Saccharomyces cerevisiae S288C: one gene and its partners. Changing the gene in region 3 together with the main gene of any one other region gives a genetic interaction. Each region holds a gene or a part of one and is shown on either strand. Other genes may lie near its edges.

Region 1 (3,803 bases), on a different chromosome or scaffold from region 3:
GCCACATATGAAAAATTACTATCATGTGATTACGGTTTTGTTCATGGATTCAGAAATTTAGGATCATCTGCAATGACAATGGCATATATTGCTATGGGGTACCTTGATAGTTATTGGGATGGTGGTTGCTATTCGTGGGACGTGTGTGCTGGATGGTGTATTTTGAAAGAAGTGGGCGGTCGTGTAGTAGGTGCCAATCCAGGTGAATGGAGTATTGATGTCGACAATAGGACATATTTGGCTGTGAGGGGAACAATTAATAACGAAAGTGACGAACAAACAAAATATATCACAGACTTTTGGAACTGTGTTGATGGCCATTTGAAATATGACTGATCGTCAGCACATTAGGCCTAATATAAAATGTACGATTAAAATGACAGTTATTTGAATCATTTTAGCTGATCACAGGGATATAGAAGGTATTGGTAGTAATAATAATAATGATAATAATAATAATGATAATAATAAATAATAAATAATAAAGCGATAGATAATGCTCATTGATTATAGATGTATAAGCAACCGTCTTGGCCAAATAGTCCAAAAACGCCAACTAGAGGCATCCATCCTTCACCTCCTCCAAACCTTTCAGCTAAATGCAAAGCTTTCTCTAAACGATCGGACTCTACTGGTTTACCTATGCTAAAACCACGAATACATAACATACCCTGCTTCTTCTCTATGTTCAAATGAGGGTTTGTTTCCGTTTCTACCATTTTTCCTTCTAATGTTGTACTTAGTGTTCCATAACATACAACGTTATCGTCCACAGATTTTCCAAAAACCCTATAGTCATAAAAATTGGTATGTGCCACAGGTCCCATGATAGCGTAGGGACAATATAACTCGAGGACTACACGGGATCCTAATTGAGCTCTTATTTTATTCAATTGTTCAGTGCTTGGGGTGATTCTTCGGTTAGTCTTTTTTAGCTGAGGAATTTTTTCAGGAAATGTCGAAATAACCTCAGCATCTTTCACATTATCTGCCAAATAAACACATCTTAATTTTTCAAGAGAATGTGGCTCGATTCTGGCAATTTTCGTAAAAATACCCTCGCTCAGTAAGTTCGTGGCCCAGGATAAGTAGATTTTATTCAGCAGCCCACTTCTAGAATTAGAATCAATTAATTTGACAACATCCTTTGTTTCGGTAAACAGTAACGTAGTTTCTTGCAACGACTCGCAATCTATCGTTGTAGGATTGATGAAAGATGCAGACCCACCATGCAGCAAAACTGCAAAAAGCTTTCCCCAAATTTGTAGGCTTGCACTAGAATTTGCCAATTTTGTCGAAATGGTTAGGTATTCATTACTATTCAATTCATTTCCCAAGGGGAACCCTTTGATGAATTCCGCTATATTACTCACCAGACAGATTTGATTAAAACTATTAGTTCCATTCCATGGTGAAGTTACGTATGCAAAAAGTTTCTTATCATCAGAGTTGTCATCTGGCGGGGTGTATTGGTACTCTGTATCCTTGGTAAAACCGTCGATAAGTTCTTTCCAAGTGATAACATCACAGTTCGCATCAAATTGTAGTGATTCGATAGGATCATCGCAAACAACAATAAGCTTGTACCAATCCTCGCTGCCGTTTAGCATCTTAAAAGACTTCCATGAGTCGATGATCAGGACATCAACATCTTCTAGTCGTTGTCTAGGAACAGCTGGCAAGAAATGAGGTATTGAACCTGTTCTTATAGAGGTCATCATGGAAGCCAAGGAGAGAGTAAAACCCTCTACGGTAGCAATAGAATTAGCTATACCGATATTTTTGAAATTCTTATTGGAAAGTTTCGGAAATATGCGCTTGGCCATACCATTAAGTTCACTCAACGAATAACTTTTTTCTCTTCCTGTAAATTTAATTATGTTTTTTCCCTTGGAAACTTCCATTATGGCATTCCAAACATCACCGAAATTGCCATTTCTTATTTTGTATTTTAAAGATAGCCCTAATCCTGTCGTCAATGGGAATCCTGTGGGCACTAAAATGCTTCGATAATATGCTGTTTCATTTTCTTTACGAACACTGGATATGCTAGATTGCTGTGACAAAGCCACCCCTGTTAAATCTCTCTTAAAATCAAGTAGAAAAGAGCTTAGCAACCAGTTGGCGCCCAGCACAATTAACAATATTGTTATTACCAGCTGTAGTAGAAAAGACCAATTCATTGCTCATCAACTTTTGCCGCTTGTTTAACTGTCTTTCTTTCTAACGAAAGAACTTTCTATAGCTTAATTGAAAAGCACTTGAAATGCTTAAAACTTAACCTATGTTGAAGCTATAAAGGTGTTGCAGAATGATTTCCATTCAATGTACTTCTCGAAGTTGCTGTCGTTTATGATACGATACATATTAGAACTTTTTCATTCTTAACGACGCGCAAAGAAAAACGAAAAGCTAATGACCAAACCAAGGGTCCTAGGATTCTCATTAACATCAATTCAAGGCAATCAGTTACAATATTTATAATAAAGTAATTCGTGCTATGTATCCTTTTGCCAAGTAACTTGCCAGAAATTCCGTTTATCTACTTCATCTTATCGGTGAAAAAATATACACTGGGCTCTTCTACACACGCCTTCTACCGCATATCCTTTAGAGTCTTGGCTTCTTGTAATTTTCAATCACGGTTATGTTCCGTGATACAGACACGTCAGAGTATTCCTATATATTCCGACATTAACCCCGACATTTCAAACAACCGTTGTTCAGCTATAGAAGGAAGCGTATATCTATGAGATTATAGGCTCTGGTACCATCTAATGATATAAATTTCATGGAACTTTTTTATTGCAAGTATTTTATTTAATTTTATTTTCATTTTTAATGATCGCGATTATTCTGTTGGAAATAACGTTCTGATGGAGATTGTTGGTTACGTTGCCACTCACGTAAGAAGTTCAAAGGATAATGGCAGAATTTTCAGCTGATCTATGTCTTTTTGACCTAGATGGTACCATAGTGAGTACAACAGTGGCCGCAGAGAAAGCATGGACCAAGTTGTGTTACGAATACGGTGTTGATCCTTCCGAGTTATTTAAGCATTCTCATGGTGCAAGAACACAAGAGGTTTTGAGAAGGTTTTTCCCTAAATTGGATGATACAGACAATAAAGGTGTTCTTGCTCTAGAAAAAGATATTGCCCATAGTTACTTGGACACAGTAAGCCTTATTCCTGGTGCAGAGAACTTACTGTTATCGTTAGATGTAGATACTGAGACTCAAAAAAAGTTACCTGAAAGGAAATGGGCTATCGTTACCTCTGGTTCTCCATATTTGGCATTTTCATGGTTCGAGACAATATTGAAAAATGTTGGAAAGCCCAAAGTTTTCATTACTGGGTTTGACGTGAAGAACGGTAAGCCTGATCCCGAGGGTTATTCAAGAGCTCGTGATTTATTGCGTCAAGATTTGCAATTAACTGGTAAACAGGATCTGAAGTATGTTGTCTTCGAAGATGCACCCGTGGGCATAAAGGCCGGCAAAGCAATGGGCGCCATTACTGTGGGTATAACATCCTCGTATGACAAGAGCGTTTTATTTGACGCAGGAGCAGATTATGTAGTCTGTGATTTGACACAGGTTTCCGTGGTTAAGAACAATGAAAACGGTATTGTCATCCAGGTAAACAACCCTTTGACAAGGGCCTGAGTAAACAAAAATGTGACAAAAGAACGAATATATATAGATGTAAAACATATGGACAAGCAAAAAGTCGAATTATGTATGTCATTTTAGGTACTGAAGAGGTAAGATTTTTTTTGAGTTTTTCTTCGAAGATGGTTGTG
Region 2 (4,067 bases), on a different chromosome or scaffold from region 3:
GTTTGATACATTCCTAGTTTGGCTCAGACCATTATAATTGTGAAAATTGGGCATCGGGGGCGGCTGTGTGTTGTGCAGGTTTTCCAAAGTTTCAATATCTTCGCCTAGCTGGCTTATTTGACCGTTAGAGATTGATATTCTTCTTCTTCTAATTGGCTCATCGCATCCAGGCAAAGAACTTTGGAAAATTGGTGGATTCGTCATAGGTAAATGTGCTACATCAACACCAAAAGGTTGAAAAAATGGCGACAATGTTTCCAGGATGGATGGATCGTTCAAGGCATGTGGGTTGTTATTCATATTCATGTTCATGAAATACATCTGCTTGTTCACAGAAGCCGTATTGGCGATGTTGGACGCATTAGTCGGGGCTGTAGTAGAATCATTCGGAGCGGACTTACGGGTAGACGACAGTTGGCTCAGATTTGTATGAGTGGCCAGATTCTGATGCATATCCTGTACGACACCAGAATTCATCAGAATATCACCGTAGAGTTGGGATTCCTCTTCAGTTTTCATAGAGGGTGACTGTTGTCGCTGATCCTGCTGTTGCTGTTGTCGAAGGTATGCAGCCTGCTGATAGTTTGAATTGGCGCTGGGTTTAACAACCCGATCATGCGAATTGACGTTTCCAGCTGCAATAGAATATTGTGGGGTTAAAGAATTTCTATTGGAAGTAGTATAATCATGTATTTGGTCAACCACACCAGCCATATTTGTGCTATAGTTTATGTCAGTAGGATCTAAGGATCTACTTAAAGCAGAATTGTTCATAGTAGAAGTGGTGGTGGCGGCGGCAGAAGTATCACTAACAGAGTGCGGTATCTTATTATTCAAGATCTTTGATGTGTCATCAATACCACGTTTATTGTTGTCTTTTTGCTTGTTGGAATTAGAGTCTACGGAATGATACTCCTGACCAGTAAACATTATCCTACCAAAAAGGTGTGGGCTTATACTTTTTTCTTTACTACTTTAGATCTTTTTAGATCCTTTTGAATCTTCCAATTGAAAGACTGCTTTAAAAGCGAGTTTTTGATTTAGAAACACCAACAGATACGTATACACGATAACCTCTATAGCGGTTCTATTTCTGTTAACAAGAAGGTACTTGAAAGTGATAACTCAAAAAACAAGAGTACAATATGAAAATCTTTTGCCTTCATTGTCATTGTCATTGAATCCCCGATTATCATTGTCAGCAATTTCGGAGAAGGGGGCAACTATGTTCCGTGTAAGGTGATATTACTCAAATGTGTCACAATTTCAACTTCTGGGAATAATATTTATAATAGTTGAGATTATTCTTGATTATAGAGGCGACAGCTTATCTTAATTTTCGCCAATAGGTTTGGAAGAACATTGGTATTTTCATTCGGTGCAGCATTTTAATTCAGAATTATAACCGTCCTTGTACGGTTATAACAGCACATTATTGAAAAATGTTTTAAAAATGTTTCAGCCCAGTAATAAAACATTTACATATGCTATCTTGGCCCTTTATATAACATGTAAAGCAAAAAACTAGAACACTAACATGGCTTAAGTAGCTGAAAATCTACACCACTTTTCGATAAAACTAAGAGTACGGCAAAGATGAACAATGTACACATAATTAAACCTTTATCACTTCCACAGAGGTTTTTTAGTTGTATTTTCCATCCTCTATTACTGATATTCTTTACTTCTGTTATTTTAACTATTTGGGGTTCCTTTTCAGTCATTGACATTACAATGGCAAAAATGTCTCACGCACAGGTCAAACGAAATGATACCGTCTCAACCTTTGCATCTATTTCAACTGCTACAGCGACAGCCACAACAACGGCCACAACAACGGCCACAATGACAGCAGTCACAACACAGCATGCCATATATTCTGCCAACAGTTACTCTTTAAATAAAACATTCATTGATAATACAATTGATCAGTATTTCGAAAGCAAACTACGGAGTATTGAATCTACGGTAGGTACGGATATGCAAGAAAAATTCAAGTCATACACAGACGACATACTGGATAATAAACAAAAACTTATCAACGACCAAATAAGTTTGGAAACTGAATTGATTAAGGAAGTTCTTGAGGTAAACAATACAATTTTTAACGAACTACTCACTAAATCACAGCTGATAAATGACACATGGAATGAAATATCAGAAGACGCAATGACCATTGATAAGGATTCCATTTCACAAATGGCATCAAACCTACTGTTAAATTACTCCATGTTTGACAGTATTTTTGGGAACTACTCAAGGAAATTGAAATCATTGCAGAACTTCAATGGCACTATCACTGACTTTTCTACTCAATTAGATACCTCTAGTACCTTAAGTTTGAATTTTCTACGAAATTCCACTGACTGGCTTCAGTTGAAAAGGAACTTTACTGCAAACTTACAGAATGAAATTTCCATTTTATCTGGGGGGAGTACCGAGGTTACATCGTCTACTTCAATAATTAAACGGTCTCTGAAAACAAATAGCGAGGAAAACAGTGTACTAAGTGCAGTAAAAAATCACGTTTTCCGTAAATGTAAGAGAATGACAATAATTTTCACAGTCATGTACTTTGCATTTGTGATTTTGCTCATGGCAATCGAAAGAATTCTGTTTCAGCTGGAAAATCAGCAAGTAAACCTGGTTATGTCCCAAATTAATGGCCTGACAGGACAAACCAATTTTACTAAATACAACAAAGTTTTGAAAAGCTTAATTACTACTCTGAATCTCAGTACACTTTATCCAATTCCCTACCAATTAACAAAGCTTATCAATCAAAAAATATTTAAAAGAGAACCAGAAAAAATCGATGACAAAAAAGTCAAAAAATCAAAACTATTTTACTGTAACTGGTGGATAATCTCAAATGGGGCTCACCTGTGGCTGTTTGGTTTTTTGATGTTATTAATTCATTGGCAGATAGTGACGCGATTAACAAACTTTGAAGTACCCAGTTTGCCTACATTCCACAAAAGAGCGGGACCTTCGCTATACAAAAGGGAAGTTTGGACAGATGGAAATATAACAACTACGATAGAGGGTTTCATTAATGACAGCGTATCATTATTGTGTGAAAATTTCCAAATGGAAGTGAATGAAAAGTTCATTACAGCAAATTTAAGCCTTCAAACTGACCCCAATTTGAAAGTGCAATCAACGGACATCCTAAATCTTTGGGTTAACGACACAAACACTCAGTTTGAAAAATATCTTAATGAGAGTTCTCAAAATTGGCAGGGGATAGACCTGCAGGTTGAGCCTCTGTTAGGCAGCGATTCAATTAATGAGTTCCTGGGTCAGTATTTCCTACCGACATACGAAGTTACGAATACAAATTCTTCATTTGCACTGGACATTCAAAAATATGGTATAATTAATCGAGGAATTAATATAACCAACGCATCGGTAGCGGCATTGTCTTCACTGTCAAAACGCCAAATAAAGGATAAGGAGCAAAAACAAACGTACTTTTTACACACTGTTTATAAGTGGGGACTTTTAGCAGTTTGCCTGACTATATTGTTCCACCACATGCTTATATTTATAATATTAAAGTTGTAAGTATCGTATTATCGTCACCTTCCACGAGCGGTCTCGCAATTTTCGCTGAGTGAAAAACTTGTGAAAGATACCTTGATTTTATGTAATAGTAGCTTAATTCACTTTCATCTGTGCGTAATCTCTAAAACCTACTGACCTACAGATCAATAAACTGACTAAGGCGCTTGTAAAGTTATTAATAACTTTGCTTCTACATTTTTTAAAGCATTTTGTTGATATTTCGAACTTTCTTTTGTTCATCTCCTTTTGGTTTGACTTTAACGAGAAGTCTCATTGTGTCAAGACAAAAAATCAAAAGCTATTATCTACAGCACATTTATTTATTCATTTTCAAATTTAGATTTTTGAAGATTCATTGTATGTTTAGTCGATCGACATGGCTCATAGAAAATTACAGCAGGAGGTCGATAGGGTCTTTAAAAAAATTAACGAAGGTTTAGAAATCTTCAATAGCTATTACGAAAGACATGAATCATGCACAAACAATCCTTCCCAAAAGG
Region 3 (4,076 bases):
GCCCCAGTTGTCTTGGGTGCTGGTTACACTGATGGTATCACTTACTTGTCCATCATTCCAAACCCAAACAACAAAGAAGCACCAAACTTTAACATCAAGATCGTTGCCACCGATGGCTCTACCGTCAATGGTGCTTGCTCTTACGAAAATGGTGTCTACTCTGGCTCTGGCTCTGACGGTTGTACTGTTTCAGTTACTTCTGGTTCTGCTAACTTTGTCTTCTACTAGGCCTTTTTTCCTTGAATATTGCAAATAAGCTTTTGCTAGTACTTTTTTTACTCCGTTCATTTTATGGTTTATTTTTCAATTAGTTCGTTTTTCCACAATACAAAAAAACACAGTCCTTTGTACTATCCCTTTTATTTCATTATTTTTTCTTTTTTAAGATACCACTAGATATTATCATATATAGCATATTATATAACATAAAAAGTCAAGAAAAAAAATGTTTTTATCACTTTCTATAACTGCATATCTTTTTTTGCATTTCGAATGATTGCTTACACATCGCCATGCTGGGATTCCTCCTCTGGTGGTGAGACAAATGGACCTGCTAATTCCAATGCAGGTTCGTCAATGTTGTGGTGAGCGTATGACAAAACACCAATCCCACCGGCGTCCAGTAAGAAACATGGATTGTCTACCAAATGTCTGTAAGATTCCAATTTCACATATGGAACTGTGTCGTCATCATAAGATTTGACATTTTGAATTTCTTCAATCGTCTCACACTTCTTTTGCACACCCAGTCCAAACCAAATAGCAGCAAAATAACGCAATGCATGTCCGTGCGCAAAGACCATGATGTCTGATGCTCTGCCCTCACTCTGGTGCTTGCGGTGCAAGTTCTGGATTCTGGCAATAGCGCGGGAAAGTCTCAACCCAATTTGCTGAGTAGTCTCACCGTTCTCACACCCATCTCTCCAGATATTCCATGGCCTCTCCTTGTCCAAACCGCGTGACTTTCTCAATTCAATGATTTCTCGAGTCAGCATTCCCTCGTAGTCACCGTACTCCCACTCTCGCAAGTCGTCGTCTACCACCACACGGATCTTAGCTCTTTGCTCGTCGCTTAATGGTTTCAAAACCAAATCCACAGTTTGCCTGGCACGCAAACGTGGAGAGGTGAAGATATAAGTGATGTTGTCTGGATTCAAAAACTGATTATTGCGGAAAACACTCTCACCGGTCCTCAACATTTGGCCCTCACCGTAGGGCGTTAACGGTAGATCTGTCAAACCAGTATACTGGCCTGACTTGGACCATTCAGTTTGACCGTGTCTGACAATGATACATCTGGGGGTTAGCGAAGGCATTGTTGCTTGCAATTAAGTGTAGGTGTTTCCCTATCCACTTAGCTATGAACAAAATGTGCTTATCTGAGCTAATATTTTTTCATTTTTGTCCTATAAATAATAATGGAAAAAAAAAACTCATCGCGTGGTTGAACAGAAAAAAAACAATAAGAGTGAGTAAGCAGTGAAAAATGTAAGATTTACGCTTTATATAAGCAGATTTTGGTTTCCTTTATATATTTTTGCATTTGTCTATCCTTAACATTGGATAGCAATTTGGCGGTGGGTAGTTTATAACGTGTGTGCTCTCTCTTTAAGTAACGATGTCAAGAGATGTAAGGGCAGAGAAACTAGCCATATCACTATTGATTTTATCATTGTTTCTAATATTCCAATTAGTGGCTGAGATTTATCTCAATAATGGTGATCAGTACCATACAGAGACTAGCCCCTTTACAAGAGGAAGATCACATGTAACGCGTGTGCCCAACCATGATGCTAGTTTATCTATACCGTTTTTGGACAAGATCAACCAGTTTTGGCATGTAGGCGGTGCCACGCAAATTAGGAATATTCAGTCGATCAAATTGACTCAGGACCGTGATCAAGATAAACATGGATTAGTATTGTCCAATGGAATTGGCGACAACACCATCAATGACTTTGAGATTGTTTTCACTTTCAGAATTTCTCACGACCCCACTACACAACTCACTGGTGATGGAATGTGTTTTGCCATTACGCCCGAAAATGGGTTTCTCACACAGAATTTACAGTCGTCGTATGCGAAAAAGCAATACATGATGAATTCTCAGGGCGTCATAGCCGATAATACAGATCTGATGGGCTTCCCGAAAAATCTGCCTGGCCTATTTATTGTCTTGGATACGTATCGCAACCAAGGCCACGACCATAAGGAGGTACCCTTTATGGATGTGTTTATAAATGTGGCCCCAGAAAGCGATTGGTACGATATAAATAGTGATGGTGAACTCAGTACATCGCTGCGGCTTAATTCAAGAGGCCACATAAAACTCAAGAAAAATGCCCTGTGGAATCGAGTCACGAAACTAAGAATAATATATTTGGAAAGTATAAGCTTCCTGAAGATCGACGTGCAGTACGCAAAAGAGGGAAACTACTGGATTGAGTTATTTCAAACAACCGAAAATCTGTACTTGCCGAAAAACATGCACACGGGGCAAAGATACATTGGCTGTAGCGCATTAAATGGCCAATTAACGGAGACAGTGGAGCTGCTGGACGTATCCACTAGCGAATTCCATTGGAACGACATGGATGCGTCCATTGAGGACACCTATGATTACGCAAAGGAAGCTGAGCTATTCCTGGAGCAGGAATTTGGCGAGGTCCTTGACAGGGAACCCGATGAGTTCACCAAATGGAAAATGATCAAAGCTCAACCAAACATCAAGACTGGGTCACAGTCAGCTGAACAGAAAACTTCAAACAATCCTCACTCTCGGTTGTTCAAGGTCGTGCTGACCATATGGCATTATAGCGAGATTTTGCTATTGATCATGGGCATTTATCTTTTTTCTGCTTGCATAAGAGTTTTCCAAAGAAGGTTCAAAAAAATTAGATCCAGAAGAAAAAGGGCAGGCTCGCATTCTGTGGGGCTATTGCCCATGTAGCATTGCATAGGCACGCACATACATACATACACAAATAATACAATATAGGACGTTCATCTTAGGTAGCCAATTCACGGTCTTCTTGTGGTAGTGTTACTTGCGTTCGACGGCGGGAGGGTTCTTGATCGATCCAATATACTCTGTGGTGGGATGGCCAGAACGCTAGAATTCGTCTCAAACGTCCTGTTAGAGAATATTGTGGGCCTCGTAGACTGTATTGAATGAATGTCCGAGAAAGTAGACGACTTCACTGACGAGGAACAAAACGATACTAGCGGAATAACACTTGCGTTGTCGTTTTGTTGTTGCTGCTGTTGCTGCTGCTGCTGTCTTACTTTGCCTGTTGGTGGTTCATCCCATGCCACTCGACGGTCTCCTTCGTCATCGGATTCGCTCGAATGCAACGAATTTCGATCAACCAATGGTCGCAACGACGAACTGATGGTTGTTCCATCCGGATCCAACTCAGCACGCTTAACTCTTGTGGGGCCAGCCCTAGTGCCGCGTCTTGGTTTACTGCTCGAGACCGATGCGTTAGTTGTGGTAGTGGTGTTTATTATTTTTTTAACCCACACTGAAAGTTTGTTTCTTCTTCCCTGGGATGTATGATGACTGTTTGACATGCTAGGACTTTCCCTTGGCACCATGTATATTCACTTTTATTGTCTCTTGATCGAGCTATAACCAAATTTTTTTTTTTTTTTTTTTTTTTCGTTTTTATAATTTTTTCTTTGGTATTCAATTGTATATAGTGCTCAAACAGCAACGTACATAATAGCTAGCAAACAATAGATGAAATAATAGAATAATAACAAATAACTATATAAGAGTGGCAGGAAAAAAAATCAGGCGCACGATTAGCGCAAAACCAAATTACTAATTGGTCGACACAGCCGCGGGCTTAGAATTGGTTTGGTCTTCTCTTGAGGCCTTTAGCTTCTCAATGGTGGCATTGCCCAAGTCCAACCCGGTGGATACAATGGCTTTAGGGACGCTTTCAGATTTACTTAGATTGTTTTCATAGACAGTGGTGAAGCGTTGGTAGGTTTCGTTAAGCTTAGTCTTTGTTGGGTCGATGTACACAGACTGCAACTTGTCAGTTGTGGGCTTCACTATGGCGTCGTAC

Evidence for each region. Genes that interact genetically often act in the same process or in processes that back each other up.
Region 1: mutations in SHB17 (region 3) and DDE1 together harm fitness more than expected from each alone (negative genetic interaction), as found in Saccharomyces cerevisiae (one large-scale study listed by BioGRID).
Region 2: mutations in SHB17 (region 3) and PRM2 together harm fitness less than expected from each alone (positive genetic interaction), as found in Saccharomyces cerevisiae (one large-scale study listed by BioGRID).

Annotation. Positions count from the first base shown.
Region 1 is NC_001140.6:193,931-197,733, reverse strand, and holds DDE1 (Dde1p), read right to left. Parts: upstream 2,184-3,803; coding exon 501-2,183; downstream 1-500. Other genes in the region: inositol monophosphate 1-phosphatase INM1, read left to right, coding at 1-336; DOG1 (2-deoxyglucose-6-phosphatase), read left to right, coding at 2,926-3,666.
Region 2 is NC_001141.2:282,529-286,595, reverse strand, and holds PRM2 (pheromone-regulated protein PRM2), read left to right. Parts: upstream 1-1,596; coding exon 1,597-3,567; downstream 3,568-4,067. Other genes in the region: CST6 (Cst6p), read right to left, coding at 1-930; CCR4-NOT core subunit NOT3, read left to right, coding at 3,944-4,067.
Region 3 is NC_001143.9:520,397-524,472, forward strand, and holds SHB17 (sedoheptulose-bisphosphatase), read right to left. Parts: upstream 1,317-4,076; coding exon 501-1,316; downstream 1-500. Other genes in the region: SUN family protein UTH1, read left to right, coding at 1-228; UIP5 (Uip5p), read left to right, coding at 1,619-2,950; YKR045C (uncharacterized protein), read right to left, coding at 3,022-3,573; PLN1 (Pln1p), read right to left, coding at 3,827-4,076. UniProt on the Saccharomyces cerevisiae protein: Sedoheptulose 1,7-bisphosphatase involved in riboneogenesis. Dephosphorylates sedoheptulose 1,7-bisphosphate (SBP), which is converted via the non-oxidative pentose phosphate pathway to ribose-5-phosphate.